Linked DNA regions of Drosophila melanogaster. The protein of the gene in region 2 interacts with the protein of the main gene of each other region in a pairwise test. Each region holds a gene or a part of one and is shown on either strand. Other genes may lie near its edges. The genes, in order: Brd, CG14232, CG5021 and CG14194.

The links.
Region 1: the proteins of CG14232 (region 2) and Brd interact in a two-hybrid assay, tested with the Drosophila melanogaster proteins (one large-scale study listed by BioGRID).
Region 3: the proteins of CG14232 (region 2) and CG5021 interact in a two-hybrid assay, tested with the Drosophila melanogaster proteins (one large-scale study listed by BioGRID).
Region 4: the proteins of CG14232 (region 2) and CG14194 interact in a two-hybrid assay, tested with the Drosophila melanogaster proteins (one large-scale study listed by BioGRID).

The regions. Positions count from the first base shown.
Region 1 is NT_037436.4:14,968,469-14,975,542, reverse strand, and holds Brd (bearded), read right to left. Parts: upstream 2,877-7,074; 5' UTR 2,805-2,876; coding exon 2,559-2,804; 3' UTR 2,345-2,558; downstream 1-2,344. Other genes in the region: ocho, read right to left, coding at 1-239; Tom (twin of m4), read right to left, coding at 5,640-6,116.
Region 2 is NC_004354.4:19,700,916-19,709,777, forward strand, and holds CG14232 (uncharacterized protein), read right to left. Parts: upstream 3,345-8,862; 5' UTR 3,224-3,344; exon of another isoform or gene 3,148-3,223; 5' UTR 3,104-3,147; coding exon 2,974-3,103; intron 2,916-2,973; coding exon 2,488-2,915; intron 2,283-2,487; coding exon 1,818-2,282; intron 1,759-1,817; coding exon 1,339-1,758; 3' UTR 1,073-1,338; downstream 1-1,072. Other genes in the region: Tcs4 (Threonyl-carbamoyl synthesis 4), read right to left, coding at 1-573, 629-813; CG14230 (uncharacterized protein), read left to right, coding at 3,496-3,673, 3,735-4,024, 4,091-5,198, 5,261-5,427; meso18E, read right to left, coding at 5,958-6,549, 6,621-6,689, 7,237-8,234.
Region 3 is NT_037436.4:8,963,673-8,971,447, reverse strand, and holds CG5021 (uncharacterized protein), read right to left. Parts: upstream 4,620-7,775; 5' UTR 4,480-4,619; coding exon 4,456-4,479; intron 4,321-4,455; coding exon 4,238-4,320; intron 4,167-4,237; coding exon 3,932-4,166; intron 3,883-3,931; coding exon 3,553-3,882; 3' UTR 3,277-3,552; downstream 1-3,276. Other genes in the region: CG5026 (uncharacterized protein), read right to left, coding at 268-345, 402-499, 553-965, 1,025-1,500, 1,563-1,950, 2,021-2,271, 2,375-2,533; CG5653 (uncharacterized protein), read left to right, coding at 5,086-6,516; ValRS-m (Valyl-tRNA synthetase, mitochondrial), read left to right, coding at 6,822-6,915, 6,984-7,775.
Region 4 is NC_004354.4:19,190,826-19,200,130, reverse strand, and holds CG14194 (uncharacterized protein), read right to left. Parts: upstream 6,577-9,305; 5' UTR 6,300-6,576; coding exon 6,262-6,299; intron 6,184-6,261; coding exon 6,113-6,183; intron 5,708-6,112; coding exon 5,133-5,707; intron 5,073-5,132; coding exon 4,680-5,072; 3' UTR 4,094-4,679; downstream 1-4,093. Other genes in the region: CG7990 (uncharacterized protein), read left to right, coding at 667-858, 1,350-1,614, 1,682-1,900, 1,988-2,148; CG7914 (uncharacterized protein), read left to right, coding at 6,683-7,630.

The DNA.
Region 1 (7,074 bases), on a different chromosome or scaffold from region 2:
TCCTCGATGAGGCGATGCTCCAGATGCTCGTTGGCCATGTTGTCCATATCGTTGCTGAGCCACTCGAACTCGGCCTCCTTCTCCTCGGAGGCGATGTAGGAGCTCCTCTTGGGCTGCTCCTTCTTCATGTTGAAGAATTGACCGAGCAGCGGCTTCAGCAGATTCTTCAGGCGACGCGAAGGCGAGACTTTCGATTTGTACATGGTGTTGAGGGTCTTCTGCTTGCTGATGGCCGACATTAGATGAATTTCGTTCAGATATTTTCTGGTGGTGAGTGCGTAGAATGCGTGCTGGGATGTTCTCGCTTCGACGTTCGGATGCTGTGTGATGCTGTCACTAAGATTAGAGGCGCTATTTATACTTTCTTGGGAGACAGGAGCGATGCTACAGCATCTCAGCCAATCACGTCGCTCGGAAGGCAGGCAGGTGCAAGGATCCGAAATTTCACACGTTAGTCAGTGGCAGCAGGTAGGTCCTGCAGGACCTGAGATTCGAGATCTTGTGCGAAGCGTGGGAATCTCGGGCCCATTCCTCCTTTCAAGACAATTATCCCCGGGTTCCAAACGAATCCTTGGCGTGGGAACAGCACATTGCCGGCCTTCTCTCGGAGACCCAGTTATTGTTTTGGATTTCGACTGGGTTTGTTTTGCCAGTTCATCAGAAATATGTCGATCCTGTAACCGAAAACCAGCTACAATCTAAGCCAAATTTACACAAATCGTGCACTTTCATTCTTATGTTTTTCGGTTCGGTTGATTAGGGATGGCATCGCAGAAAGTCCTTTGAGGCACGATCTTGAGAATTCTCACGTTCAGTTGGGGAGCTCCTCGTATTTTGGTTACTTGGGCAGCGGGCTTCCCAAATATTTTCGTGTCACGACAGAGGGTTTCATTTTTGAACATCTCTAGTCCTCACTTTTTTGGTTCAGACCCCTCAATTAATTGTAGAATGGGGGTTCATTTTTTGTGAATGTATCGTATTATAACTCATTTATTGTGGGATGTGGTGATTGCTCGCCTTACATTTATATTTACAGCCTGTGAGAATTTGTAACCCGTGTTTAAATGGTTGAAAAGATCCTAAAGAAATATAAAACTGCAGATGAGGTCTGTTTAGATGTTTGGGCCCTATTGATATCAAATTGTGTTTGTAGCAATCACTAATATAAATTTACTTGAGGTTTCATTTTTTCTATTACTTAGGGCCACAAAAGAGCTGAAATCCTCAGAGACAAATATTTTGTTTTGAAGAAGTATGATGTCTATGGTTTGTTAAGTAAGTGGTCTTAGAATCTTTAAATAAATAATAATAATGAATATTAATTAATTAGTCATATATATTTGCATATATGATACATATCATAAAATATTGTTGTTTTTAATAAAGCGACGACAACACATTTTTTGCGACTATCTTATAAACGAATTTATTGTAATGTTTAGTAATGGTTTAAATATTGTTATTTGATTTACCCCAACTCAAACAAAATCCTACACATAACAGAGTTTGAATCACAAAAATAAAAAATAAGAGTTTAATAAAATTAAATTCAACGCCCAAATCTATAAATTATTTTAATATTTATGTAATTATCTTGATTTCAAACACAAATATTTATTTAGATTTATTAATATCAATTAAACTTTTGTTTCTTTAATAAAATTATCATCATCATATCATCATATCATTATCTTTGTATTATATCATTGCCCATTTAAAACTCCAACGGGTCCTGTAACCTGTAACATTATCCCGAACTGTACTTGGTTGTATGCTTTCAATAAGGAATCTGCATCGACTTTATGTAAAACTATTTACATAACGCACACACGATCTTATGTACGAGAATGCCCCCTTTGAAATGCCATAAAGATCGAACCGAACCGTGCGGCCTTTTCGCATTTATTATTGAGATAGGATTGGCTTTGTTTCTGCTCGTAGCGTAGGGCCCCTGCCTTTTTTGTTTATCATCCGAGGGACTGGGACCGGGACCCTCTACCTGTTCCGATGCAATTCGAGATTTATTTTGTCCAGGGCCCAACCCTAAGAAGGAGCGCTGAAAACGAAAATCAGAAATCGCCTGGAGGTAACAGGTTTCCCCGGCTCACTCGGCTTGATTTTTCGAGTTTTTCGAATCCACAACAGGTTTCCAACAAAAGGGAACAGGTAAAGGTTTTGTTTTTCGAGTTAAGGTTCTTAGGGTCTCGCTGTTCCGTGAATGTGGAAGGGTCAGGGGTACGGGATAAGAACGGTTTTTGGCTTACAGATTCTTGGAAAAACCTTCGAGGAAATTACAATGACAAAGGGAAAGTTCGAATAAGAAATCAGAAATGCAAACAAGTTTCGGTATTAATATTATGTATTTATTCATACTCTCTTAAACATAGATGGAAGACAATGATTAAAGCTGGATATTTGTGCATTTCATTTTAAAATCTCCACTTGCACAGTGTGGAGAGTTAAAGCTGTTGCGGATGATGTTTAGAGACCGAATCCGTTGGAGTCTTTAAAGCTGATTGGAAAGTGGTATTTTTTTTCGGATTTCCCATTTTCCTCGATTACAGTTGGACGAGCTCGGCTTCCAATTGCTCGTTCTGGGAGTTCTGCAGCTCCTCCTCGGAAGTGGGCAGTGGGAGCTCCTTCGGCATGGAGTGGTTCTTCAGTTGCTGGTGGCCCGATGCCTTGAAGATTTTGCAGGCCACCTTGAAGATCTTCTTCATGGCCTTGGCGGGTGTGTAGGTCTTCTTCTGGCAGACAGGAGTGGTGGTGTAGATGGTGGTGTTCATCAGAGTTTCGTAGGCCATTTTTGCTAGTTAGTAGTTTGCTTGCTTGGTCGACTGATCTTGGCTGTTCAACGTTGCGATTGAATGTGATGTCCTATTCGGAATTGCGCACCGCTTAAATACCCGATCCTTGCGAAAGCAACCCCTAAGTCAACCAATCAGGACGAGTCCTAGCGCGCAGGTGTTTCTCGGTCTCTCAAAATATGAGAGTCACGCATTCCTCAACTCTCTGCAGGTAGTTCGGGATCGTTTCGGGTCCCTTTTTTGAGCGACCCTTGCACGTGTGCGAAGTAAGGCCACAATTTTCGTAGGCCCTAAATAAATCTCTCCCTCGATTTCGTTTTCGTCGTGGGAGAGTATAATTTCAGTCGAATGCCAATAGGAGGACGATGCCGGCAAGCATAACAAATAGCCAAAAAATGAAAGAAATGAAAAAATAAACGATCATCCCTTTTCCATCGGGTTCGGGTTAGTAATTTGAGTGGTTTGTTTGCGGAGGACTCGGCTCGAATTTATGCCTTGATTAGTTTTTGGCTATTAATTGTTAATAGGCTGACAGTGGAGGATAAAAGTGACAGACCCTCGTTAAACACATGTTGTCGGCAAACGAGAAATATTTACACGTCAACATTTCATTTTTGATCAGTACAGGTAGACTGTGGTCCTTTCGAGTACAGTGAACATTCGCTCGAAGGTGTGCAGGGATTTTCAAGATTCCACACTCACTGCAGCGTAGTTGCTCTGGCAGGCTTCACTGTCCTCACACTTGTTCTTCGGGGTTGTTTTGGTCCTTGGCAAAATTTGAATTTGGAGCGTAATGAAACTCGAATTTCTTCGTTTATTGCATGAAAGGTTTCTTTATCTTTCCCTTAAATCTGCTATAGGGATTTAAGATATTTTTGGATTTCTTGTTGCATGGAACCACCACTTGGAAATATGGTTTTCTGTGACAGGTTTCACTGTCCCCACACTTGTGTGTTGGTTCGGGCTCTCCAAGAAAATTAAAATTTCGTCTCTTGTTGAAATTCGAATTTCGTCTCCTATTGAAATACTTGGCACTTGTAATTTGGGATTCATTCGTATTCCAATCCAGTTGCATTAGATGGAGTGGGATAGGATCCTGGCCCATCCACTTGGGGGGTGACCAACCAGGAACCTAGCGTGCTTGTGGCTCGCTTAACTATTCCACAGGCATAATTCCCCATAAGCACTTGAAGATTTTATTTTGGTGGCGTTTCAAGTTTAGTTGTTAGTGTCAGGTTTCCTGAAATTCAAGCGCCAGAATGAAGCCTGCATAATTAGCTTGTGGCTATCGTGAAACAAAATATTGTGGATCGAGTGTTGTAATATGACTTATGTTGCATTTTTCTTATAAAAAAAAATTATTTACACTGAAAATACATGTATTCTTTAATACATAATTCTTTATCTTTATTTTATTTCAGTTCGGTGGCTTGTTAGCCGTATATACATACATATTATATATGATATTATTGTGATAAATATTTATCATTGACTCATTTAAAGAATTTTGAGAATTCACGCGTTTGTAGCACATTCAAAATTTTTAAAAATTATTTTATTCATTTTAGACTGGGTTATTTGATATGGTTTTCTTATAATTAGTTCTTGAAGAATTCTTTGTAGTATTTTAATATTTGTAGATACAAACAGTAATTTTTTTTAACCATAATATTTTTTTTTTATTTTACTTTGCTTTTATTTATTGAATCTTCTTGTATAAGAACTAACAATAAGTTTAAAAATCTTAACTATAACAAGTATTTTTTGAACAGTTGTATTATTTTTCCAACTGTTCTATGTTTAAACGGCCCTAATAATTTATTCGCTGGGTTGGTAGGTCCTTTCGCCGGAGACGGGAACGGCTGCTGAGCTGGATTAGACCTCGCGCTAGGTGGTTGGGGTGCGTGTGAAGCGTGTGAACCATAATATGATATGAAAAGATATGATATTTACTATACCAATATTTTCGAAATATAAATAGAATAAATAAATAAATACATATATACTACAAAGGTATATATTAGGTATATTTGAAACAAAAATCATATTTTAACGATAACAGATGCAGAAATTGTATGAAAGACAAAAAATAATATTTGGTGAATATTATATTAGCCTGTGGTCAGGCTAAATATAAATGTAAATAAAATTCTTTATTGTTCTTACGGAAGTATTTCCAACTGCCTACCAGCAGCATTTTTGGATTCAAATGGTCTCCAAGCAGGAATGAATGCAGTCACTAATTGGAATGTGTTCACCAGCATAGCGAGTCCAATTTAAAATCCATTCTTCAAATCAGAATTGTACAGAGTAGCCGAATTTAACTATACTTACAATGGTCATTCAATTTGGGATTTTTCTTTTCCAACCTTATTCATATTATTTCATATCAGTTTTCAGAATAAAGAGACATTAGAATTTCCTTTTTTCGATTTATTTATTTCTTATATGATATTAGTGTTTATAGCTAAAGTTTTACATGGAAGACAATGATTCTTAGCCTAATTCTTATACGAAGACCCTAACAAACAAACATGGAAGACAATGATTCGGCTAAGACTAACTTAAGGCTAATAAGACACGATAAATCACAATGAGTTAACGATAGTAACGCTTGATTGTGATAATTGAATATCAATTAGAGTTGTGTTTCCCTTGGGACGCGAGCCCAAAGAATCCAATCTATGCCTAATATCACCCTGAGATTACGAACATGCGAAGCTGAACCCGCATCCATCCGACGACCAATGGACGGAGACACTTGCACTTAAAGCTGCCAATTGGAGTTTTTCCCGGTGCATCGAGAAGTGGAACTGTGCATCCTGGCGATGTTTAGGCCTGAACCCAACGGTCGAACTGCTGGCGCAACTGCTGTTCGTGGTGCTGGCGAGCTCCCTCGGCTGAGGTCCAGAAGAAGGTGCCGCTGGTGGTGCGGGCGAAGTGGACCGGGATGAAGGTCTGCTCCGGATGGACGGGCACGATGCTCTGTTGCTGACCCTGCTGCACGATCATGGCCACGTTGGTGGGGCACTGGCGGAGATCGGTGTACAGTCGCTGCTCCAGCTCCTCGTTGGCCATGTTATCGCAACTGGCCGCCGGATCTTTGCGCATGTCCTCCAGCGAGGCGTTGACTGCATTTTGGTTCTGGATCTCGGCCAGAGTCTTCCGGAGTAGCTGCTTCTTCTTCACCAGTCGCAGAAGGGGTTTGACCAGTTTCCTCAGACTCCGCATGGCCATCGTGTGCTGATCTGATTTCGGCTCCATCACCTTGCTGCTCTCAAACTTGTATTCCCGTGTGATGAACGACATTGTGTTGAGGATTGTTGAGATTTATAATAAAACTTGGGATCTTAGTTGGTTGCACTCGGTTGAGAGTTGGTAGTATTCTGGTTTTCCTGCTGCACGACCGACTCCTTATATACGATTTGCTCTCTTTGGTTTCTCTCGGCGGGGGAGAATTCTCGCACAGAGCGGCGGTTCTCTCGATCGATGGACCCAGCCAATGGGAAGGCAGACTGCCTGCAGGTGGTTGCACAAACAGTGAGAGCGGGAGACAAAAGAGAGCCAAGAGAAAGCGGTCTCGGAATCAGGAGCATGTCCTTACCCTTGAGAAAGCAGGGTATGATGAATTTTTGAGTCTGTGCATAAAAAATAGATTTTACGAAAAATAAGGTTAATATGTTTTTATTGTGTGTATATCTTTTAAGTGTATTTTTTCTAAAAAAAATTATTTATAATAGTAATATTGAAAGGGGCCATATAAGGTTGAATTTAATTGAATTGAATTCATTGAATTTATAATAACTATAGTAATAAGATCATAAACTTGATGAAAAATATCAATATTTAAGGACTCTATTAAAATTAAACTTAAAAGACTAGCAAGAATAAAATGTATCCTAAAATATTTGGTATACAACTAAATTAAAAACTATTTAAAATTAAATAATTAAGATCGGCACAGCCTTACAAAAAAAGTTTTCCTTAACAGCACACTGCTAAATTAAGGTATGTAGGAAGTACATCGGTAAAATTACAATAAATACAAAGAGATCGTTGTATATTTAACAATTATTTAGTATTTTACTAATGGTATTTATTTTTTGGAACATAGCATACCATACTAAGTCATTTACTTTAAAATTTCATATGTTTCCCACGTGATTCAAATGCTGGGTATTACCCACTCGAGTTGCTCATTCACTGCAGGTTTTTAACGGATTTTTTGACAGTCGCATAGATCTCGGTCGGTTCTCGATCTTTCGCC
Region 2 (8,862 bases):
CGGAAGGAGTTGTTCTTGATGCCGGCGAAGCTGAAGTTGCAGTTCCGCTGCTGGGCAAGTGGCAGCGGAAACTCGTAGGCCAGCGGATCGCTGGCCAGCTGGGCGGCATGCTCAATGGCCCGTCCTCCGTTCCACAAGCGGTACTCCGGCAGAATGTGCAGGCGTAGTCGCCGACCGATCTTGTCAAAGGCCTCGCCGGGCGCATCATCCAGTGTTTGGCCAAGAAGCGTAAGGCGACCGGGGCCGTTAGCCACCACCAACTGACAGTGGCCGCCGCTGGCCAGCAAGCAGAGGAAGGGGTAGCCGATCTGCTCCGGATGTTCCATGCGGGCCTGCAGCGCGTGCGCCTCCATGTGGTGAACGGGCAGCAGGGGCTTCTGCAGGCGACGGGCCAGGTGCCGTGCAAAGCGCACGCCCACCAGCAAACTCAGCGGCAGTCCGGGACGCGTGGTCACCGCGATGGCCGTCAGTTGGTCCGGCTTCAATTGCGCCGCCTCCATGCAGCGCTGGTAGGCGGACTCGATGCGGGCGCGGTGAAGGTCCTGGGCCCTGGGCGGAATAATGCCTCCATAGCTGCAATCGATTCAGTTCATCATTGGGCACCGCATGCGGAGATGTGAGCACTCACCGGGTGTGGAACTCCTGTTGCGACTCCAGCACATTGGCAATCACTCGGCCCGTGGTGTCCACGATGGCGATGCCCGTGTCGTCGCAGGAGGTCTCGATGCCCAGGACATAGCTGAGCCGGCGCCTGATCCCACAGCCAAATACATTTGCTATTCCATTGCCGGCAAAATTACGAAGTGCATGCATAATGGCCAGTGTGACCAGGCACCGATAGAAACCACAACCAGCAAATCGTGGGACCGTTAGTGTTAGGGCCCCTTACACGAGCCAAATTCTTAACTATACTTTAATGCAATTTTTATTTAATATAAAATAATAATAATAGTTGTTTCAATGCCCAAAATTGGTAATAGCAATTGTGTCGTATGAAGAAGTTTCCTAAGTGAATTTTACGAATAATTTATTCTTCATTAAGAAGCAAAGAGATTTCGAAAAGTGATTATTTACAGTTGTCTTTATATTGTTTATTAGTTTCAAATTGAATTTTGGACTTGTCTTCGTCGGTTACAACTAAATAATAAATAATATTGGTTTAGTCTGAAATCGGCATGGTCTTTTCCCGCCGCTTGTTTCCCGGAATTGCAGCAACGCACACGTAAAACCAAAACCTCACGCACACGCACATACAGATTATTCCGGACTTGCACATTAGCCGTTCGTACGGAGATAGGATTCATCTAAGTTAGTGGTAAGTAAATACATTTTGGCCTCTTAACGCTCGTAGTAGACGCGGTAGTACAGCGTCTTATTGCGCCAGATGCTGTAGCTGTTGTCGAACTTCAGCAAATAGACGCCCTCGCCCGGATAGGAGTGGGAGCCCACGTAGACCTCGTTGTAGCACTCCCGTCGATAGATCGGTACGATAATGGAAATGGGTGCCTTGGGGGCAGCAGTCGGGTTGTTAACTGCGCCGCGCTCCTGCGACAGCGAGCCGGACTCCAGGTCCTCGGTGGTGGATAGGTAGTCCTCGTCCACGCAATCCTCGTCCTCGTCGGAGTCGCTCACATGCACGGTCACCTCGTTGGTCACGGGCTTGGCCCACTCGAAGTAGATGCCGAAGCCGATGTCGTAGCTGTCCGTGGCGAACTCCCAGAAGATGCACTTGCCGTTCATGTTGGTGGGCACACGGACCTGCAAAATTGTGCCGGTCAATATGGGCCTTGTTTCGTCATTAGTTGATTGCCACCTACCGTCACCGTGTCGCCGTGTCCAATGGTGATGACGCCGTCCCCATCGCCGGCGGACACCTCAGTCTTAAACTGCTCGATGTCGGGACGAGTCCAGATCTTGGCCGGGCAGATCATAACGTAGTCGTCGTACTCTTCCTCGCCGTGCTGTTCCTGCCCAACGCCCTCCAACGTCTGCTCTACATGCCCGTCTTGCTGCTCGGCCAGCTGCTGGTGCTGCTGTGTCTCGACCTCACCGAGCTTCAGTCCCTCCATGGCGTTGGGCAAGTCGGTTGAGCTGTTGTTGTTATTGCCAGGGACGTGTTCTGCTTCCTGGTGTCCCTTGTCCTCCGTGTTCTGATTCTGATTCTGGTTCTGGTTCTGCAGATGAAGCTGTTGCATGTACTGGTGATAGTGCTCCCGCTGCAGCTGGTGGATAAGCACGGCCTGCTGTTCGGGGTTTCCGGGGAACTGCTTCTCAGCGTACAGCTGTGGAACGAGTGTAAGCGTTAGAAGGGCCAAGTTAATGGTACAGGAGCTGGCATGCAATTGCCTGAGAACTGGGTCATGACCCCTTTTCAATGGCAGACAGCGCAGCCAAGGCCGAGCACCCAGTAATTATCATGCATTATTTAGCACAACAACAGGTGCAGAGGGCCGGGCCGGTGTGTTGTTGAAAAAATCGATGGGCTACCTTAAACTGCTGGTAAGTCTGCTTGTTGAGTGCGTCCTGCAGCTGGCGGCGCTGCAGCTCCTCCTTGTAACCCTCCTCGAGCAGCTCCTGCTGGGCGTTCTCCTGCCGCTCGCGTGCCTCCTTCTTCTCCTCCATGAGGCGCAGCTCCTTGCGCAGCGTCTCGTCGCGGTCCTGCCGCACGGCCTCAATGTACGGCCGAAAGGCGCTGCACATTGTGTCCAGCAGGTCGACGAACCCCTCCATCGCCTGCTCGCGCGTTATCTCACCGAGCAGCTGCCAGTGCTGCTGCCGGTCGCGTCCGATCACGTCCAGGACGCCCAGCGCCGGGGCGCGACTCGTGTTGAAGGGGCCCAGCGCCGCCTGCTGCTTGAAGGCGATCAGCTTGAGGTTGTCCTCGTACGACAAGTGGATGGCCTTGCCGGAGTTCCCTGCAATATGTGAGATTAGCCGTTATTGGTGCGCTAGTGCCGGGATCTCTGCTCTTACGCTTGTAGAACGTGAATGCCAGGCGGTAGAGCTCAATCAAAGGGAAGCCCCACTTCTCGGCCGATGATGGTGCCATGTCCGTCGACTGGGCCGTTTCACTGCTGCTTGTGCCGCTTGTCCCGCTCGCCATGCTGCCGTTGTTTGTGGGCTAGTCCACGATTGCTGGCCTGCAAACTTTTCGCACAAAACAAAACAAAATAATAGAATTTATTGTGACGTCTGCTGCCAGTGTGACCAGCCAGCTGCGCACCTAAAGTAATTGTATTGCTCGCCTTGCAACACTGACCGATGGGGATTATTTTTGTCTAACTTAATGTATTTGCCTATTTACAAAGTTGCTAAATAAATTTGAAAGCTGGTTTAGTGTTGCTTGGACTTGTTAAAAACCTGTATAAAGCAATTGGGAATTGGAATTGTGGCTATATTTAAGTGTAAGTTTTTATCTGCCCGCGGTCACACTGGCCCACAGCAATTCTTGCCGGGATTTGGATTCTACACGTGCATTGCAAGCGTAAACATAATATGGGCAGCACTCGGTTCTTCCTGGCGGATCTGCCGACCAGGACCTCGGAGTCGGACCTGCAGATCCTGTTCCAGGACTACGGTCACGTAGAGCACGTGGATCTGAAGCGCAAGGAGCAGGATGGGGCCACTAAGGTGATTGCCTTCGTCACCGTGCAGACGGATGATGCCCAGTACTGTAAGTTATCCGCGGAAGATCACAGCCAGACGGAAGGAGTAACCATAGCTTGGTTTTGTAGGCGTCAACGAGCTCAAATGGCAGAAGTTGCACGGCGAAAAGCTAAGAGTTTCTCTTGCCAAAGAATCGTTTTTGGATCGACTGAAGCGCGAACGCGAAGAGAACCAGCGCCGGGAACAGGGCGAGCCAGACGAGTCCGAGGTGCGTGCGCCGAGCTCTCAGCTCCTGGTGCAAAGTGGCCAAAACAAGCGCAGGGTATTCGGAGAGGATGAGGAGATTGGTGATGATGAGGTCGCTCCAGAGCTGCTGATTACCAAGAAGCGCGCCGCCAATTCCATGCACAATGGCCGGGTATGCACGCACTCATTGTTCCCAAGCTCATTGTCAGCTAAATTCCTTTCCTTTCCTTTCCCACAGATTGTCATCCAGCAGGAGCACGACGTGAAGCCACTCCATGTCATCGAACAGCACCGCAAGGCAGCCAAACAGAAGCCGGACGCCAATGTCAGCCAGGCGGAACAGAAGCGCAAGGAGTCGCTCAACAAGATGCGTCAGGGACACCAACAAAAGAAGTCAGCCATCCAGCAGGCGCTATCTGTGATATCAGTCGAAGGCAGTCAGGCAAAGAGAATAAAATTCAGCGACGCCGAGGAGGAGGAGGCGTCCAAGCCCGTCCAGAAAGCCAAGATACAAAAGCGGGATCTGTTCGAGAACGACGACGATGAGGAAGAGGAGCAGATCGTCCTGCCGCAGCATAAGGGCAAGAAGGGCGAGCGTCTGGTGGAGATGCAGAGCAAACAGAGTATAGATCCCCGCTTCCGCATCACATCGAACTTTGTGAACGAGGAGGAAGAGGCGGAGCTGGAGGATCAGCCTGAGCCGGAGGAGAGTGAGCGCAAATGGCACATGAACATTCTGGAGCAGGTTGTGGGACACGCGATCACCAGTGCGAACGATAAGGACGGTAAGTCGCCAAAGAACAAAAAGATGCTGCGCTTCGATCCGGCCAAGGAGGGCCATCAGAAGCTAATGCGCCAAAAGCAGCCCAAGGAGGAGGAGGAGAAGAAGGAGGAGACTTCCAGTACGAAAGCCAAGACCGCCGACGCGGGCAACAGTCAAGCTTCAGCCGTCTCGAAGACGGCCTTTTACATTGTCACCGACACGTTGAGGGATTCGCTGAACACGCGTGGAGAGGGTTTCAGCCTGCTGGACATGTTCGGCAGTGCACCGGAGAAGGAGGTGGCCAAGCGCCAGGACCAGTTGGAGAAGCTGGGCCATGAGAAGATCCTGGTGGGCAAGACGTCTGCCAATAAGCTCGGACTGGCCACTCTCAATCCGTTCTCCTACGACTCGTCCGACAGCGAAGACGAAACCGAAGTAAAGCCGAAGCAAGAGCAGGAGCAGGAGCAGGAGCTTGAGGTCAGCAAGGAGAACAAGGCCCAGCCAGCGAAGAAGTCGGGTCAAAAGAGGAACAAAAACAAATTGGAGTCCTTCTTCATACCCAGAAACGATCCTCGTCTCAAGGGTAAGAACGTGAATCTGTGCGTATTTTTTCATTCTCAACAAGCGATCGTCTTTTCTTTGCAGAGGGCGCCAAGTTTTTCAAGTCCACGAAGGCGGTGGTTGACCATGCCGAATATGACCAAGTGAAGAACCGCCTGAAATTGCTGATCACCAAAAAGATCGCCAAGGCGAAGAAGAGCCTGCCCAGCAAGGATATCAAGCTGCAGCGGAATAAAAAGGGAAAAAACTGATCTAGGTTAAATTATACCCTTAGTCTTAAGCATAATCCTGTGTAAAATAAACCAATATTGTTCTTTTTTTTTTTTGTAAATGGTACATGTATTCATCTAGATTACAAAAAAAAAAAATGAAATGTTTGTGCTTTAGTTACTGCACAAATGCATTTGAGCCCCGTTGCAGCTCCAACTAGATTATCGTAGCGGTGTGAATCCGGCTCTGTTGAGATTCATTCGGCATCCGCTGGTGGGATTCCGCCTAACTAAAAGCTAATTAAGTGAATTAAGATTATCGCTTCAACAAAAATTGCGGCGCTTAATATTCAACATTGCAATTAAGTTTCATTCGTCCGCTAAGCACTTGTGTAGGCTCTCTAAGTAAAAATGGCAATCTCAACTGAAATTCGAGACATGGCTCTTCTTTGGCACTGTATCCTCTGCCGCCATCCGGTGAGAGGAGTGGCGGTAGGGAAGGGTTATATATATATATATGTATGTAGGTAGAAGTCTTAAGTAGATCTAGCGAGTAGTGGATGCATTATATTCTACGTCTGCCTGCCATCCGTCCGTTCATCGCCGCCAGCCTTTGGTGTCAGCTTGGCCAGCTTGTCCTTCACCTGAACATCGTCACCGCTATCGCCGTCGTCTGGCACCTCAATGGCGGCATCCTGATTCGCGACGGGAATGGTGCCGCTCCTGCCTGTCGCAATGCCGTTGCGTTCCGGACTGGTGGGCTGCTCCTGCGTAGCTGGCGGCGCTGCAAACTGAGCCTCTGGTGGTGGCGGAGACAACGGTCTGGCTGTCGCTGGCGCGTTCTCTTTGGTTGGATTAACTGGAAACGTAAGTGCCCGCTTTACGGCCAGCGTTTCAATGGCCACAACCGTGCGCTCCAGCAGGTTCATCAGCCGGTCCTCGCGCGCATCCATCCGCTTGAGGAGCTCCTCGTCCCGCTTCTCGCGCCGCTTCAGATACTCGATCAGCTCGTAATTGGTGCTGTCGCCGTCGGTCGAGGTGGACATCTTGCGCTTCTTCTTCAGCGTTGTCGATGAGGAGCAGTCGGACAGGATGTCCGTGTCGACGATCACATCGGGGTGCAGTATATTCGCATCCATGCCCGGCGAATAGTAGTTCTGCGCTCTGTGCAAGCATGGATTTGATCAATGGAATCGGTTTCGAAGAAGGTGGCTTCCGTCGCCGCCGGCACTCACCCATTGTAGTTCGTCTGCATCAGCTGGATGTCGTCCGGATTGAACTCGCCCTCCGAAAGTGGCTCCGACCTGTGGGCGGCAGAGAAGCGAGAGTCTTAGGCGGGATCTCGAGAACGGGGCAACCCGATAATCGATCTGGACTTTCCCCATTAACAATTAAATGGACACCATTACTTTTGAACTGATAATTGTTGAGTAAAAAGGATTTATTTCTTAACTTTGTTTGTTTGATGAAGTGAAGTCAGTCTATCAGTGAAGTGAAGTATCTTTTAGGTTTGTAGTTTGCAGTATATGTAAGTAATCCCTAGAGGATCGGAATCGGCATCGAAATTTAGATTTTACACTTAAAGTAACATCTTTAAATTGAATGGAAGAAACATAAAGTAATCTATATTCTCAATTTCACTACGATTTTCAATCTTGCAACGAACTTTTTTGTCTTTTGATTGCGAAACTGTTGGTGGGCGTAAGACTGGGCGTGGCAACGTTCTGAGATTTAGTTACGGAAATATCGACGGACAGACAAGAGCCTATAAACAATTATATTTTGGAGATTGAAAACCCTTCCTCTGTCTATTACATAGTTTACCAGAAATCTATTACAACTTTTACTCACTTCATTGATATGTGGTTCTCGTTGTGATTGTTGTTCTGGTGGTGCATGTTGAGTGCTCCATTGCAGTCCTTTTCGAAGTCGGGTGCTTCGCCAGAGTCGTCCATTGGCGCGTGGCCCAAGCCGAGGCCGTGGCCATGACCCAGGACGTGAAGGTGGTTTTTAAATGCTGGCCGCTGGGGCTCATCCTCGTCGTCGTCTTCGGGCGTCATTTGAACGCCGCCAACGCTGGCCATCTGGAGCTCATGTCGCTTATGGGCGGCCACGGCGGCAGCGGCAGCAGCTGCCTGAACCATCTGCATCTGGAGGGGATTCTCGTCGAAGCCGCCGGCGGACATGCCGGATACACCGGATGCGGAGCCACCGACCGGGCCGGCCACCTCGCTGAGCTGCGCCTCCACAAAGTGATTGGGCAGGAAGCGGTCCAGCTTGCTCCCGCTCTGCGAGGAGTCCGTGGAGTGGGCGTGCGAGTGGCTCTGGCTCTGGCTCTGGCTGAGGCTCTGCAGTAGGCTGTGCTGGTGCGGGGTGAGGTTGTCCTTGTTGAGCAGCACTCCCAGCTCGGCCGCCTGCCGTCGGCGCTGGTAGTAGGATAGCTCGTTGTGGTTTTTGGTTATGAGCGCCAGACGCTTGCCATTCGATCCCCAGCACTCGCCGCGCTGCTCCTCGATCTCCTTGAAGAGGAACATGTACGGCCAGTTGCGGCGCACATGGCGCTCGGGATTCTTTTTCAGCTGCGTGTAGATCTTCTTGAGGTTCTCGTACCGATTGCAGCACTGCTTGGCCGTTCGCTTCCGCGCACTGAAGCGGTTGAGCACCTCGGCGACCATCTCCCACACGCTGGCATGGTTCTTTCGGTTCGACTGGAACGCGCTCTGGATGCGCTCCGACTTGACGATGTTCAGCAGGGCCACCGACTCCGGCACGTTGAAGTACGATTCCGGCGTCCGCGGCGCCCGCTGGTGGTGATAGCTGCTCGTCACCGGCGGGGGATTCTTCGTATCCTGCAAGGATATCCAACAGGATAATTTAAGGAAAATAAGAAACAATTGCTACTAACAATAAGATACAAAAAAAAATATATAGATATGATGATAATAGTGATGTGTTAAATTCATTATTATTATTTAGTTTTAATAGTTAATAAATCGTACAGGCGTTTACAACGTTGAAAAGCTCATAAAAACCAAGTTGTTTCGTTAAGATTTTTATATAGTATGTATGTATGTACATACATAAGGCATCTTAAATATGATTCATATGGTAGGTAAATTATAATCCAATCCAATGTACAAAATAAATGATTAAATAATTAGAAATAACTATGGACCGATGTATCGTATATATCATAAATATATATATATTAATTTTGATATCAATAATCATAAATATTTTTTAATAAATTTATTACGGTTAATGGTCAAAACATATGCAGATACTTATATGTATTTACATAAATCTTTTATAAATAGCTACATCTGTGCAGTTAAAGTTTGTCACAATTATTTCAATGTACACACATACATATATTTCATTTCAATTGTATATTTCAAACGCATGGTATGTAAATATACCATATAATATATGAACTACAAACATTGTCTACTAGATCCAAGAAAATCAGTAAGATTA
Region 3 (7,775 bases), on a different chromosome or scaffold from region 2:
ATAGTTAGTAAAAATGGACACATGTATGTCTAAAATTGAGTGTTTCAGTTGATCCAAAAGCAGATCCTATGGTTTATCCAATAATTTAATTACCTTGTTTATTTTCTTTTTCCTTCAGCATAATTTCTTGTAAATGGAACTTTTAGTGACTTAACATTAGTTTTGCTATGTGCTTAAATAATTGTCGAAATCTTGCAACAGAACGTATCAAAAATAAGTGTATATCATGCAGGAGATTAAAAGATAGAGAACATTTGAGGTAGCCGACTATGTATCGTTTCCACTTTTCATGAGGTTGGACACTTCCTGGCCGAGCTCCATGGCTTGTTTGCGCAACTTGAGGGCCTGAAAGATACATGTCATCAGTAAGCATTTCGCTATCAATACTCAAGTGGACTTACCTGAGTCCTGAGTTCCTTCTCGCGGGTGACAAGTTCCTGAATTTGCGACATGACTGTGACTGAGCTGCGTTGATCTATCACCCACCGCAAATAGAGATCTAAAATGCATGTTTGATGAGTAATGTTTCATATATTAAGTTCTTAAACATACCACTCCACAGCTCTAAGCTTATGGGCGCCACCGATGGCCATATCACATTGGCATTAGGCTCGTACAGCGGATTCAAGAATGTCTGAAGGACATCAGGCCGGTTCAAATAAGACCACAGGCTCGTCGTCCTGGTGTGCACATTCAGTTCGTTTCTCTCCCGCTCTGAATCGCACAGGAAAGTTCCATACTGCGAAAAGTGACTGTGCTCAAATAGAAGGATCAGCAGTTGAGTGCTGAATTCAAAGCTGCAGGGGAACTGCGTGTAAAGCTGATAAATGCAATCCAGAAATAGGACGAAGGTGGCACCAGAGGTCTTATTGCGTGTCTGATTTGGTGTATAGCATGAGTAGCGATGACGCGAGGCGAACGGATGTCCCGCCTGGATCCACTCGCGCTCTATCAAAGCCTGCAGGCTGCAAAGGGAACACGGCATAAATATCTTTTTCAAGGTAAGGAGAATATGATTACTTACCCCCTTACAGTCCGGCAGTCCGGATTGAGAATGATCTGCACCAGTGAGGTGACTATAAGCGTGGAGTCCAACCCCTTAGCACCGTGCACTAACACTGGACTTCCCTCTTGGTCCAGGCATTGGGCCACCACACAGGAGGCGTTCAGTGAGTTCAGCACAAGACTAAGCCAGCCGCTGTTCTCCAGTCGCGATAGCCATTTATCAGTACTGCATCCCAAATCGTTGCAAGCTTCGATAAGCCGAGCAAAGCTGTCCAAAATAGAGGCGGGCGAACTGACGTTTCCAATTGAACGATTTACCTTCTTCCACTGCGAGTAGTGCAGGTCAGTTTCCGTATTCGATTTGCCCTTACCCCAAGTGTCCACGATGAACCCCTTCCGACTGCGACCCAGCACCAGATTAAGGATAGCCTCGTCAGCTCTACAGCGCTTGATGCCCTGAATGGACAGCGGCTGGGAGCTGCGCATTAGTGTGGCCTGCAAATATGAATCATTGAATTAATTTAATAAAATTTGATGATGTAGATGCAATGACTTACGCCATTTTCATGCCTGTAGCTGAGCACGGGGAAGCGGCCGCCATCGCGGAACGCAGCGGAGAGCACTATCTGCTCGTCCGTAATTGCTTTAGGTACAATTAGCGTGGCGCCATATGTGGCACAGACGCTGAAGTCTCTGTTGACGTTGGTGATGCGCCACTCGCAGGAGGCCTGGGGACTTTGAAGCGCACCACCTCCCACACCACCAACACCACACGCAAGGGCTTCTATCGCATAGCCATTTTGCAGAGGATGGGGAATGCCGGCGCCCACAGTCAACGTCGATGTCGAAGTTGATGGCATGCAAATTGTTATGTTGGCCACATTCGGCGAGGACGCACCGCCCATGCCAACCCCGCTTATGAGTTTGGCGAACTCCAGCTCGGGCCTGTCGTTTGGATGGGGAGGTTAATTGAATTGTAGCCAATTTGTTAGTTATGGAGAAGCCGTGTACCCACCTAAACATCGTGTAGCCGTCCTCTAGGATCGAGTACATGGGCCGGTAGAAGAATGGATAGAGCAGTTCGGTGTTCTGGATGGCACTGAGTGCCTCCAGCGATGCGGCCACGTTGAAGAACTCCTTGCCGCACTTTATCTCCAACGAAATGATGCGCAGGTCCTTGCACTTCAGGGTGATAATCCCACCGACCACGATATTCTGCGACAAACTAGGCTTCTTCTCCACACAGTCGATGTTCTTGTGGAGCAACTGAAAAGAGGGGGATGAGCATGATGAATTTCTAATTCAATTATGAGCGCTCCACTGATGCCGAAGCACATCGGATTAGGTGGGCAGGCCTCAACCCACTTACCCATAGCTCCTGGCTGGTTTCCTGGCGGGCGCTGAGCAGCAAATGGTGCCCTGTGATGCACAGTGTGCCAACTGTTGCACCCGACGCCCCCGCATTCGATGGGTCGTGCAGCAGGACACCGTCCAGCTTGGGGGTCTTTATAAGGTCGGCGAATTCCATGGTGTCGCCCTCGGCGGGGTGTCCGATTTGATTTGGCCCCCACTAATTAACTTTTTGCATTTTGCCCCGGCTATCTCCTGTTGCCACTTGATTGCTTCTGTCGACGCCGCCTTCCACCTCCGCCCTTCTTCGCCACGGTTATCCCGCCTTTCGAGTCCCCTTTTTTGAACCCACAGCAGTGCGTACGTCACCGGTTCTGGCGGGGATTTGGCGGACTTACGGCACTGCTGCTCTGCAGCTAACAATGAAACTCGTTCCGGGCTGCAAAAACTTTTGTTCCACGCCCCCGCTTACGGCACAGATTGCATTTCTTTCTTTCTTTTCGATTCCGTTTCCGACCGACTGTTCTGTTTTGTGCTTTGTGCCAGTGTGCCCGTCGCTCACTGAGCCGGAAAGCTTTGTTGTGGCGTCCACTACCACACTGCGTTTTGCCTATGAACCGTTATTGCCACTAACAAAGAACTAAAAAATTATCAGGTTTTTTAATATGTAAAAATATTTTTAAATTGTTTTGCAATTTCATTTAGTTTAGTTTTGCAGGAATGATTATATTTACGCTTCATTTTTAAATATATGTTTACGACAGTTTCATATATGAAACTAAAATGACAAAAAAGAAAATAAACTAAATAATTTATAGTAATCTAACAGTAATGAAAATTATTTGCTTCACGTCTTTCGTACTCAGATTAAGATGCAGAGAATAAAAATAAAACACATTTCGCTATATCTGAATCCCTTTTAATAACTATTCTTAAATTTGTAGTTAAACCATTCGAAATAAAACCATGTGGCATACTGGTTGCATGTCACACGCACATGCGGTCCTTTAATCCGAGTAAAAGTAAGAAATGATTATGGTAGATTGCAGTATGGCTAAATTAAGTTTTACATATGGTACACAGACAGCGATGCCAATCGAAGGTCGTGGTCCGCGCCAGAAGAAGCGTCGAATACTCTTTGGAATGCGCTGCAGCAGACGGTGGCAAGGTGACTTAGTAGATGGCGTCTCCACCAGCTCAAACGACTCCCGTCGGGCGTACATTTGTTGGCGGTGGGGCGCCACTGGGCCTTGTCATGATGTCCACGGCATTCTTGAAGAACTGCGTTTTCACAAAGTCTGTGGCGGCGGAATTCAGATCCTTATTGGCACCATAGTTACACTTGACGTAGCCATACAGATTGGCGGCATTCAGCGCAATGGCGATCATTACCAGCAGTAGCCATTTGAACTTCAGGCCGAATAGGGCGAACAGGAAGAAGAGGCCCCAGAAGACGGGACAGAGGATGAGTCCCAGCCAGAAGATGCGCTGCTCGTTCTTGTTGACCCGACTCTGGTAGGATTCAGACTGCGTTTCATTATCAAGGGCAATCTAGTTAGCTATGCTCGTGACTCACGTTCTTTGACTCAAACACCCAGTGCGATACGCCATCGTCGTCGACGTAGTTCCACCAGCGGAGACCGACCAGCAATCTGCCCGAGATGTTCTTCACCGTCCAGAAGTCGGCGGACAGGAAGAGCACCACGAAAACGAAGCTGGTGATGAAGGAGTCGCTGAACCAACCGCAGAACATATAGATCAGGATGGCGGCGCCCCTGAAGAACAGGTGGAAGAAGGTGACGTACGGGTGCCTGTGGAGTACACGCGTTGGGTTGGGTTGGGGTAAATGGAATTGATCAACAAACATTATGGTTCTGCATACGTGTATTTCTGACCCGCGCGACTGGGATCCCGCATCTCGTCCTCCTCGCCAAAGGGTATCGTGTCATCGTCGAGCAGCGGCACCTGTGTAACACGTATGTGGGATTAGTTTGGCTTGCCTCGTTGTAAAATATGAGTTTTCGTGGAAAACCTCGGATCGTATTGTCAGAATGGCACCCCAATCAAGCAGCTTGTTAGGTGTTAGTGCGGCATACATACATTTCTTACCGTAGCGGATGCCATGCTGGTGTAGGGAGTGACTTCTAATTCCTAGTTGGGTGCAATTTTCATGGATTTTCGTGGTTTTTCAGGGGATTTAATATATTTTCTTCGCCTGGGACGTTGTTGTTGTTTCTGCCTGCGTAGCCTTCTATCGTTTTCGCACTGAGTCGATAGCTCGCAGGGGTGAAGCACTTCTTCGACTTCGATTGGGTTGGCAGCACCATAAGTAATCGAGCTTAAACCTATCGTATTTGAAAATTTTGCAAACATTTTTTATTGAGCTCCCCTTCATTTTGTTTGTGGAATTGTTATTTGCAATAGCAGCGCCAAATGAGAAAAAAATGCCACTTTTAAGTTATTTATGAAACATAATTTTTTACGCATCATATTAAGTAATAAAAGCCGAAGCAATATTATCTAAGACGACTTTTATGTTCTGTGACCCGGATTCTCAATGTTACATGGTTGTGGCTGAAAACCAGCAGAGTGTGCAAAAAGTTGTACTCCAACCGCAGTGGAAGCCATTGAAATGCAGCATCCATCACTTGCCAAGTTAGCCCACAAACTTCATCAGTAGCTCGTTGATCGTCTGCTCTTTCTGTCGAACTTAACTACCAACGTTTCAAAATGGAAAAATGCCGTGCCTCCTCTAGGATAATCATAATCGGAGCAGGAGTTTCGGGCATAGCCGCCGCCACTCGACTCCTGCAAAACAATTTCCAGAATGTTCAGATCCTGGAGGCGGAGGATCGCATTGGCGGGCGGATCAACACCGTGTATTTTGGTGACAACGTCATCGATTTGGGAGCCCAGTGGTGTCATGGAAAGCAGCAAAATTGTGTATACGACATGGTCAAGGATATGGGTATCCTGCACGAGACAGGCGACTATTACAGTCCCATAAAGAGGGTGAGATCCAACAAGGAGGTGGTTCCACATGAGTTGGCCTGCAGGATTCACGACATTGCTGTGAAGAGCATGCCGAGTGGACCTCACCCGGTTGTGGGATCCTTTGGCACCCACCTGACTCAGACCTTCTGGCGCAAGATCGAGTCCGAGCTACCCCAAGTGAATAGGGATGTGGCTAGTGAGGCCTTGAATACATTTGCGAAGCATGAAAGCTCTATTATTGGTGCGGACAATCTTTTCGAGGTCTCCGTTAGGGAACACATCGAGTACCACGAATGTGATGGCGACAAGCTGCTCCACTGGGGAACGAAGGGTTACCGGCGCTTCCTGCGGCTGCTGATGAAGGTCAGCGCGGATACGCCAGAAGAGCTGGGTCTACTGGAAGGACGTATTCAACTTGATATGAAGGTCATCAAGATTGAGTTGGCGTGCCCCCGTAAGGTAATCCTGCGCTGCCAGGATGGGGATTACTTCGAGGCGGACCACGTCATCTGCACCGTTTCCCTGGGAGTCCTGCAGGAGCAGCACGAGAAACTGTTCGTCCCGCCGCTGCCCGCAGCCAAGGTGAATGCCATTCGCAGCCTCACCCTGGGCACTGTGAACAAACTGTATTTGGAGTATGAGAAGCAACCTCTTCCTGACGGCTGGGTGGGTTTCTTCTGCTTTTGGCTGGAAGAGGATCTGATAGAGCTGCGAAAGACGGAATATTTCTGGGTGGAGGGTATAACCGGTGTACACATGATCACTTGTCAGCCCCGAATGTTGATGGCCTGGGTGAATGGTCCGCATGGACGCCACATGGAGACCCTGTCCGATGAGAAAGTCCTTGAGGGCTTGTACTGGCTTTTCCGAAAGTTCCTCACTTTCGAAATTCCGCCGCCAAAGCGTTTCGTTCGCAGCTCGTGGTTTTCGAATCCGAATTTCCGTGGCAGTTGGAGTTATCGTGGAGTTATGGCCGATGAAAGGAATACGGGCCCCTGGGATCTAGAGTCTCCTGTGTTGGGCGAAGATGGTCATTTAGGCCTCCTTTTTGCCGGAGAAGCGTCTAGCAGGAATCACTTTTCCACCGTTCACGGAGCTGTGGAGGCGGGCTATCGGGAGGCAGACCGGCTCATTGATCATTACACCTCATGCAGTGTCAGTGCCTGAAAAATATATTTTTTTATCGTACTTTTCTTTATGGTTTCTTAATAAAATTGTTCTCTTTTATAAATTAAAAAAAATTACATTGGATCCTGATATTCACATACGTACCCTCTGAGATGTTTTATGTTTCTCTTTTGACAAATCAAATAAATAATGAAGTTTGAAAAAAAATTGAGGAGGAAAGCTCTACCGTTTCTCGTTTGAAATTGGCGCCCATAAGCCGTATATCGATTATCTCCTCAGCTGTTTTTATACCATCACCAATAAGATTACAATTTTTTTTGACATAACATAACACAACATTAAAAATGCAAATAATTGGGAATTGTAGCAGTAAACTGCTCAGACACAAGTACCTGTGCCAGCCAAGGGTGTACTCTCTATACTACAGTACCCTTAAAGGTGCGTTACCTCCAGTTTCATTCAAAACCCCAGTGCCGGCTAAAGAACTCACTTTTTTCCACTTTTAGATGCGGCTAATGAGCTTCCCTTGGCAGCAGGATACCAGCCACAACCAGTGGAAAATGCTTACTGGGAGCGGGAGCATCGCCAGGCAAATTTGCCCAAGGCTTCAGCCAGCAGTTGCAAGCGGGGGACCTATCGCATGCTTCTACCGCCACCAAATGTAACCGGGAATCTACATTTGGGCCATGCACTGATGGCCACCGTGCAGGATGTGATTGCCCGCCAGCGCGAACAGCTTGGCTACCAGGTGGACTGGGTACCAGGCACAGATCACGCGGGTATCGCCACCCAGGTGGTCGTAGAGCGCACGATTGCCGCTTCTCAGGCGAAAACCCGTCATGAATTGGGACGTTCTGCTTTTCTGGACGAAGTATGGCGCTGGAAGGCGGAAAAGGGTGCTGGTATCGTACAGGATCTCCGCCAACTCGGCTGTAAACTGAATTGGCAACGAGAATACTTCACAATGGATGAGCAGCAGGCGCATGCGGTCAACGTAGCTTTCGAGCGACTCTTTGAAGAAGGCCTAATTCAGCGGCGCAACTCGGTTGTCAACTGGTGCACCGCTCTACGTTCCGCGATATCTGATATCGAGGTGGACAGTGTAGAGATCACGGAGCCGGTAGAGATATCCGTTCCAGGCTACGATCACAAAGTACTCTTTGGCAGAATGTACGATTTCGCCTATCACGTAGTGGATGGTGAAGCACTGCCCGATGGTTCGGTTGAAGAGATTGTGGTGTCTACCACTAGACCAGAGACAATTTTGGGTGATGTAGCTGTCGCAGTACATCCGCTGG
Region 4 (9,305 bases), 510 kb from region 2:
CATTCATATCCTGCCCCCGCCCCCTACTCCCCTTGTCTGCCCAAGAACTCAAGGACTTGTTTATTTATAACTCCGGCTCATCCAGTTCGGGATGCCAGGCGAACCGCATTCACTATTCAGCCGGATCGCATAGTTTCCGCCTTAATTCGCTGCGCCCCATCGTTCGTCTTTTGTTTATTGATTTATTCACACGCCTTCTGTTTGGTTTTCATTTCTATTTTTACCTTTATTTATTTTTTTTTTAGCGCTTTATCGTTGTTGTGCATTAACCAAAACGAAACACTCGACCACCAACTATGGCCAGGTAAGGGCTGCCATCCCATTCCATTCTCCACTCCTCCATTTAAGAGGCGAAACCACTGCGGTTCTGGGCTGGAACGATGCCACATAAGCAAACATTGTCCTGGGAAATATTTAATTTCAATGATAACTCGAAAAACCCTAATACTGATTACTACCTATACGTTAATAACTCAATGAGTGGATTTTAACTATCAATTTAATATTAATTAATTCATTTAATTGATAACGAAAAGCTATATGTTGCAAATACTCTCCATCACATGTTATTATGTGGCATTTCGCACATCCCAAGTATAGTGCGCAGTGGTTTTGCTTGAACTCCGCTCGATCCTAATGGCCTCCATTCCTTGCAACTCCTTGCAGATCAACACAACGATTAGCTCCAAGCAGGCGGATGCGAGGGAGCCGCAGGAGCAGCAGGTTGCCATCCACTACTTGGCTAGCTTCCATGAACTGTGCGTGGTGACCGCCCTGCTGCCGCTGGTGACGCTCTTCACGTGCTTCGTGACCGCCTACGTCTTCCAGTACGACGATGTCCACGAGACACATTGCCGCGTGAGTAAATGGGCACCGGGCGATCCAAGGGTATTCAGTGGCCAGGATGATGCTGATGAATGATGAATGTTTTGGGCAGGGCTCCGGCGCGTCGCCCGTGGCCAATAAATCACTGTCATCCCTGCGGGAATCCCGCCGAGATTGGAGACACGCAAATCCGCTTTTCCAAACGATTCGCTCACAATTGCTCCACGCATGGCGGTTTTTATTTTCACCAGCGGTCATTTATTTAATTTTAATTACAATAAATTTCACCAGTGAAATATATTCCTATTTGGGTATATATATAACTCAAATAGATTTATACATATCTGATTTTTTTATGTTATTAATATATATTTTGATTATTAGTGGCCATAATTCATTTTCCTTGCAAGTATAGAGAGCATTCACTTCAAGGGTAACCCGTCCGTCCATATTCAAGAGCATCTCCCACCATATCTTCAGTCTCCAGATTAATGTTATTAATTATGTATGGCATTCGTTACCAGGTCTACAACATTATACCCTCGATAAGTGCAATTACCGGCGTCAGTCCGCAGCGCTACTTCTGGCGCTTCAGCATCGCGCTCCACATCGGACCGCGAATCCCCATCGCCTTTGTCTACAAGAACTACTACCGCTCGCAGCTGCGTCGGATCAGTCCCGCCCAGGTGCCTCAGACGAGCCTGCTCATCACGCTGATCCTGGTGCTCAATTGCATCGAGATCGCGTCCCTGGGCGGCGTCACCTATATATCGAATCGCGAGAACTACCGTAGGTCCTGCCCAGCCCCCCAATCGTACATCTGATCCCTCTGATCCGTCTGCTCTCTCTCTTCCAGCCGTTCACGAGCGCATATTCATCACGTTCATGGTCTGCTCGCTGTGTTACATGCTGGCCACCATCAAGCTGAACGGCATCCTCAATGCCGGACAGGCACTGAGCGAAAAGCAGCTCCTCTCCATCAAGTGGAAGAAGATCCTGTTCGCCGTCTCCATCCTGAGCACCGTCGGCCTGCTGGTGTTCTTTGCCAAACATCGCTTCTACTGTCACGACTTGGGTGCGTTTCAAATCTCTTAGTTTCACATTTTCCACCCCGAAACAGATAATGAATCTCCCACATCTCTATTCCCACATCTCTTGACAGCATTCAGTTGGTTCGCGTTCTTCGAGTACTTGATCGCCATTGCCAACATGCTTTTCCACTTCACCATCATCTGGGACTTCCCATCGCAGTTCATGATGATCGTGCAGGGACCCCGCGAGAATCTTGCCCAGTATTTGAGCAACCGGCCGAAACTGGACTAGATTCGACCAGGACTAGATGCCCCCAGCACGCCACTCCTCCAGTGAACCGTGTGCGTGTAATTCCCGTGCGAAACGTACAATTAACGAACTTCTTCAACTTTAAAACTAAGCGCTTCCATACCGATCAACCATAGCAAATTTAGCCTTCTTCTAATTCTTCGATTCTCTTTACACTTACACTTATGTATCAATCTAAACCGAAAGCGAAACCAAACCAAAATCCAGAGATAAATGTTCCATAGTTCCATGATTAATATAGCTATTGAATTTAACAACAAGTATGTAAAGAATTTTGCCAGATTAGAGGGCATACCGTTCTATGTACACATTCTAAATACGTGAAATAAGTTACCTAGGGATTAAGTGCACCCAAAACCAAAACCAAACCAAATGGATCGCAGCTCGCCAGATCTCATGTCAATTTCGAATGGAATGCAAGGAGCCAAGCCAGGTGCGAGCAGTTTCATTTGTTAGGCAGTAAAGTAAAGTAAAATAAATAGAAGTCGCATTACTTACCACTTAGTACATATCGTTTATACAAGATGATAACGAGCAGCGGGAAATAGCCTCCTTGGGACAGGCCCTATTGGCCCCCAACCACAAAAGAAAAACAAACAAACATAAAAGGAACAAGGACACGATTCTAATAGACGGTAATCAGACAATAGACATTAAGTGTGCGACTTTGCTGCGGGCAACGAACCAGGACCTCCACAGATTCCATCCGAGCAGTGATGGCAAATGATATTTCCCGGATAGTTGATAGCTAGCTAACTCATGCCCATAGTTTCAGAATCCCTCACTGATCGTGGATCGGATTGAATAATCCGAATGGACGTGGAGGTGCGGCTTCTGGTGCTCACGGGGTCAGAAGGTCAGTGGTATAAGCAAATGTAGCCAAGTAAACAATTGTTCTTAGCCAACTTTAATAGTGAAATAAAAATCGAAAGACGGAGCAATCCGGTGAAAACTAGAGGCCCATCATAGGTAACCGAATTGCAAACCAGATTAGGATCAATATATTTTGCAGCAAAGGAGTTGCGTAGGTGTTTTTTTTTTGTTTTTTTTTCTTCTACACAAGAGTACTTAGTGTAAATCGAGAAGAGTTCAAATTGATATCGCTACTTGGCCAACTTTGTGCCATATGTACACAGCAGGTTCAGGCGGAAGGTTTTATTCGATAAGTAGTACGTGCTATTGCTAACCTTAATTATGATTGCGATTGTGCATTATATTTGCAGGAGATCGACGTCTTAGGTAATAACCCCGTATGTTCCCGAAAACGAGCAACGTATTTATGTAGCTAAGCCAATGAAACAATTGTTAATTCTCACACAAAAAACCAAATACAAACGGACACTCTATAAAAAAAAAATGTTATACAGATTAACAAATGCAAGCAAGCTCACGCCCACTCATGCGATATGTTATGCAATAGTTAAGTTGCCAGTTGCACCTCGCGATCGATCAGATATATATTGTATTTGAATTATTGTTAATGCTTACACGGCCTGCGTTTAGCCCACTTTAACTATATCTATACTAATGTATAACTCTGTCCCGCTCCATTTCGATTCCCCATTTCCGATTATGTGCCTCACTCTCTCTTTCCCACACCCCCAAGAATATGTACTTCCAGTCGCATCCGATCCGGTTGCAGACTATATTCATATATTCATATATATATATATATATGCGCTTTATATATACCGCTCACCGGCTAATCTTCAATTATTTTGTCCGGCAAATGGATGGTCACTTTTTAAAATGCAACTTTTTACCTTTGCATAACTTTTTAGGCGACACAACGTAAGAGAATTAATTAAAAATGAAATGCAAAACTTAACTATGAAATACATATGTAAACTTTGTAGCTTCCTAATTGAATAAAGATAAATACAACTCACACGAATTTCGAACCATTTCATCATCGTCTTTTCATTTTGATGGAAGCACTTAAGTATATTTCTCGTTTTCACGTACTCTGTTAATTATTTACACTTTATAGTAGGTCATTACACATAAGTGGGCTTCTCAAGGTGTGAGAGATGTTTTACATATAATACTAGCACACGAGTCAAAATTCCGAATGCGGCGCTGTTCAATTTGTGGTCAAGTTGGAGTCCGATTCGGGTCTGGACAAAAGCGTGTGGTGGTCAGGTCCTGTATGCATGTATGTGCTATATGTGCTATCATATGCAGGCGGATGCGTGGAAGGGAGCATGGTGGGTGCGATGTGCTTGGTTGGTTGGTTGGTTGGTTGGACATGGTTCGTGGGCGGTGTTAGCGTTTGTCTTACAATTAAAATTCAGTACAAGTCTAAAAGCTACGACGGAGACGTGAGTGTGTAAGTGGGTATGGGTATGCTTAACAATGCCTAACATAAACACCTGAACAAAGGTGTGCGGCGTCTCCTTGTGCGCGTGCAAAGAGGCTGTCCTTAAGTCTACGCGGTTCTTGCGATTTATTGTAAATGTTGCTGTTTTACTGTTGCTCCTGTACTGCTCCTGTGCTGTACTGGCCGTCTATATCTAGTCCGGCAGATCGATGCTGACGAACGGAACCACCGGCTTGAGAATGTCATTCTTGGCCCCCTTCTTGCTCTTCTTGTCGTGCTTGTGGAACTCGTGCAGCTGCTCGCTGGCCGCCATGCTCGTCGAGGAGGACGCTGCGTCCAGCGGCATGGACTGTGCAGCATTGCTGTGGGTTTCCGGGTGATAGCTGATGTTGCCGTACTCCTGCAGGAACGGCATCGCGGACAACAGGAACTGGCTGAAAGACTTGCGGATGCCGAACCACCACATGTTGCCGCCCTTTGCCGAGGAGCTAAGAACTATTAGCGCCAGAATAGAGACGAGCAGCGGTGAGAAGACCACGATGTACGGGAACTTAAGCTCGCCGTCCAGCTTGTCGCAGATGACCACCTGGCGGAATAGATGGGTTAGCGATGCACAATCTTTTGGAGGGACTAGATGAGGTCTCACCTGAAAGCAGAGCAGTGGGAGCACCGTGCAGATGTTGCCCACCGCTGCGTTTAATGCCGCCTTCTTCTGCTGCAGCGAGACCTCCGGCGTACGCATCATGATGCCACAGAAGATGATGTTATACAATACGCTGACCAGGCTCAGGCATATGACGATCCACATGGGCACAAACACTACGTCCCAGTTCCAGTAGACAAAGCGATCCAGCTTTAGCGGCAGTGAAACAAACTGAAGCGCGTTGACCGCCAGGAAGAGCTCCAGCTCGAAGGAGCGATCGTGCTTGACGGCCCAGACACAGGCGCCCACACTAACCACCGAGCCGAAGATCAGCGGAATGAAGACCAGCACCCACAAGTGACGGTCCGAGGTCAGCTTATCGCAGGCCAGCAGCTCAAACATCAGCAGGATCAGGTGCAGGGCCAGTGAGATGAGCATCGCTTTGAACTGCGTGTAGGCATCGCCCTCGAGACGATAATGCGGATACCGACACCACACAATGGCTCCTACGATTGCGCCCAGGATGGCGGTGCATTTCCATATCCATAGCGGTGTGAAAATCGCCCAGTAGGGCCAATCTGGGATAAGGCATTCGATTAGACTAGGCTACTAGGCCAATTATAAGGTTAATGCCCTACAATAAATCTTGTTCAGTAATTAAAAATCTAAATATTTAGCTTAGATAAGTTATTTAAAATAGCGAGAGAACTAATATCCTCGTTAAGTGACCAAATTTGGATGATCCTCTATGGTCAGACGATTTCTTCGATATTGCTATATCCAATCTCATGATCTGCTTGCTAACCCTTGTATACAATAAATCTGGACTATTCTCTAGAAGAAGCGATGGTGCACCGTACACATATTTGTGTATGGGTCGTATATGCTTGTATTGTTATATGATTGTATTTTCTTGCATCCCCGTGCTATTTTAATTCTGGGTGACGTTGTGTATTCCAGAACTGCCACAGAAAAGTACCCACCAATGTAGTTGTCGAGGCGCAAGGCGAAGAGCGTGACAAAGATGAACAGGCTGCAGTGGACGATGAACTTGCTGAAAGGGAACATGGTCGATTATGTTTTAGATTGGGAACCCATGTGATCCGGTCGTCCGCAGTCGGAGGCTTCTCACCAGGGATTGAAGTCGCGGAACAGAGATTCCAGATTCATGTTGCTGAGGACACCATAGAGCTATGTCACTGGACACTTGGTACCTGGACACTAGTTGCTCGTGGGCACCCGCCGCACCGCGTCCGCTCCACGAAGCGATCTTCGCCCGAACAAGGCTGTGTGTTATGATGGAGTGGGGGGGCGGGGGCAGTTAGTACTCTACGCCTGGCGCCGATCTTTCACCCCTTTCCCTGTAGATATTCTGTTCTTTGTTTTATTTACACACTTTTTTGACTGGCATTTCTGTCCCGAGATTCGATATCGATAACTCTTGCCTGCTCTGGCGATTGGCTTGACTAAGGACTAGCCAGATGTCTGGCTACAATTCGCCAGATTTCCGGCTACGCTAGCCTGCTATCGATAGCCTCGATAGGCACAGGAAAATGTTATCTTATTTGGAAGATTTGAAGGAAAACGAGGACCAGCTGCGGGATTCAGACTGCTGCGGCAATGGCTGCACCAACTGCATCCTCGACAACAAGCCACGGCCAAGCAAACGCGTCCTGCTGGCTGGCAAACGCAACGTGATCCTGAGCTACACGAAGTTCCGCCTGTTGCGGCGGGAAGCGCTGGGACCCAATGGACAGTTGCTGCTCCTGCACTTTGCTCATGCAGCAGAGGAGGGGGACGGCGATGGAGCGGTGGACACGGTGCTTGACATCCCGCCCGGCCACCATGTGATGCTGCGCGTCGGCTCCCTGCTGCGTCCGTATTCGCCCTATTGGAGCGACTTTGTGGCCAAAGAGTTCCGTATCCTGGTGAAGCTGCAGCCGGAGGGGCCAATGTCTCGGCACCTGCAAGCCGTACAGCCCGACGATCTGCTGGAATTCCGTGGTCCCATCGGGCAATACGTACACGAACCGCAGCCGGCCAAGTGCATCTATATTATCGCCCAGGGAGTTGCTATTGCACCCACTCTGCCGCTGGTTCGGCAGGTGCTGGACAACGAGGAGGATATGAGTCGCCTGTGGCATTTGGTGTGCGCTCACGACCTGCTGCATGTCTACTTCCGCGAGGAGATGCTCGAGTTCGCCCAGTTCTGGAACTACAGGAGCTGCCTCTACCTGCCGCATCAGCAGTGTGACTCCTCCGCTTGCCAGGAGGCGGGCCACTGTGCCCAGCAGTGCCCTCAGCTCCGGGACAATCTACGCTACAAGGAGACGGCAAAGGTGTCCCGATTAGATGCCACCGAACTGGCCACCCACCTCAATCCCGCGATTCCCGGACAGCGTGTCCTCATCGTGGCTGGAGATTCAAGTTTTCAAAAGAACATCGCCCAAATAGCAACACAATCATTGGACGTAGATCCGGCAAACATTTATATGTTGTAAATGCCGGGAAAAACTGTAGTTGCTTATAAATATTTGAATATTGTTAATGAATTTGTGATCGTACTGGTTATACCGAGGGTTTTATATTTTTTATACCCTAGATTCGTTGAAAAGTATGTAACAGACAGAAGATATACATATATTCTAGATCTGGATCAATAGCCGAGTTGTTCTGGCCATGTCCGTCTGTCCGTATGAACGTCGAGATCTTAGGTACTATAAATGCTAGAAGGCTATCACGCCCACTCTAACGCCCACAAACCGCACAAAACTGCCACGACCACACTTTTAATAAATGTGTTGATATTTTTTCACATTTTGATTAGTCTTCATTAATTTCTATCGACTTGCAAACAACGTTTTGCTACGTCCACTCGAACGCCCAAAACTGCCACGCCCACATTTTTGAAATATTTTTAAATTATTTTATAAGTCGTGTAAGTTTCTATCGATTTAAAAAAAACTTTGGCACGCCCACTCTAACGCCCTAAAACCGCCCAAACCTGCCGCGCCCACATTTTTGAAATTTTTTTTGGATATTTTTTAATAATTTTATTAGTCGTGTAAATTTCTATCGATTTACAATTTTTTTTTTGCCACACCCAGTCTAACGCCCTAAAGCGGCCATAACTGCCACGCCCACACTTTTGAACAATTTTTATTCCCCAATATCTATCGATATACCAGAAAAATTCAGAAATTTCGCGTTCGCATTCACACTAGCTGAGTAAAGGGTATCTGATAGTCGGGGAACTTGACTATAGCATTCTCTCTAGTTGGCATTTGAAACTTTTACATGTTTTCTATACTTCCAATTAAGCATTTGAGTGTACCGAAAATGGAATGTGTACTTCCATAAAGGAGGAGGAGTTCACTTCTTCATCATCAGTAATACAGGTAACTCCAACTACTTCTACTGTTTTGCCCACACTTGCTACTTTTAATTGGTTATAGGGCATCTATACTTATCGCTGCTAAATGAACATATGGTTTTGGCCATCCAGGTGGCTCTTCAATCCATTTCGCTGTCGGCAAATCATTTACTTTGTTAAAATCTGAGCATTGCAGTTGCAATTCTCATACCAAATGTATCGATCGGGATTTAATTGTCTTTAAAAAAGCCGACTGGTTTTCGCTGTAATTAATACAATTGAGCGTCTGGTTATTCACTGGATGAATCGAAAGGAAACATTATGAATCCAATTGCCATTAAACATTCTCTATGGTCATCTTTTTATTTGACCTCCTGTGTCCACAACATGGTTATGATTCCATTTGACTATTAGTGATCCAATCTAATTCAAGTCATACCAAGTGGATGATATTTTAGGAATCAACCCAATTGGTGTTCAGATTGGAATAATCTGAACACCAATTTGAACATACCCTGTACCTTGATTTTGAGAAACAAATGTGTTTGTGCCTTAACAATTCGTTATTTCGAAACATTCTTTACAAAATAATTTGAATTACTTACAAACAATAAAAAGGATAATTTTATTTTGAAGCAAACTTATTGTTACAAGACAAAAACGAAAAAAAAAATAAAGTAATTTAACTTAAATACTGTGAGTTGATTCAAGATCTTTTAACATTTTCTTCATGGATGGATAATGATAATGGATAAAGTCAATTTGGAGATCTGCTCCAGTTATATTATAAATCCTCGGGCTTC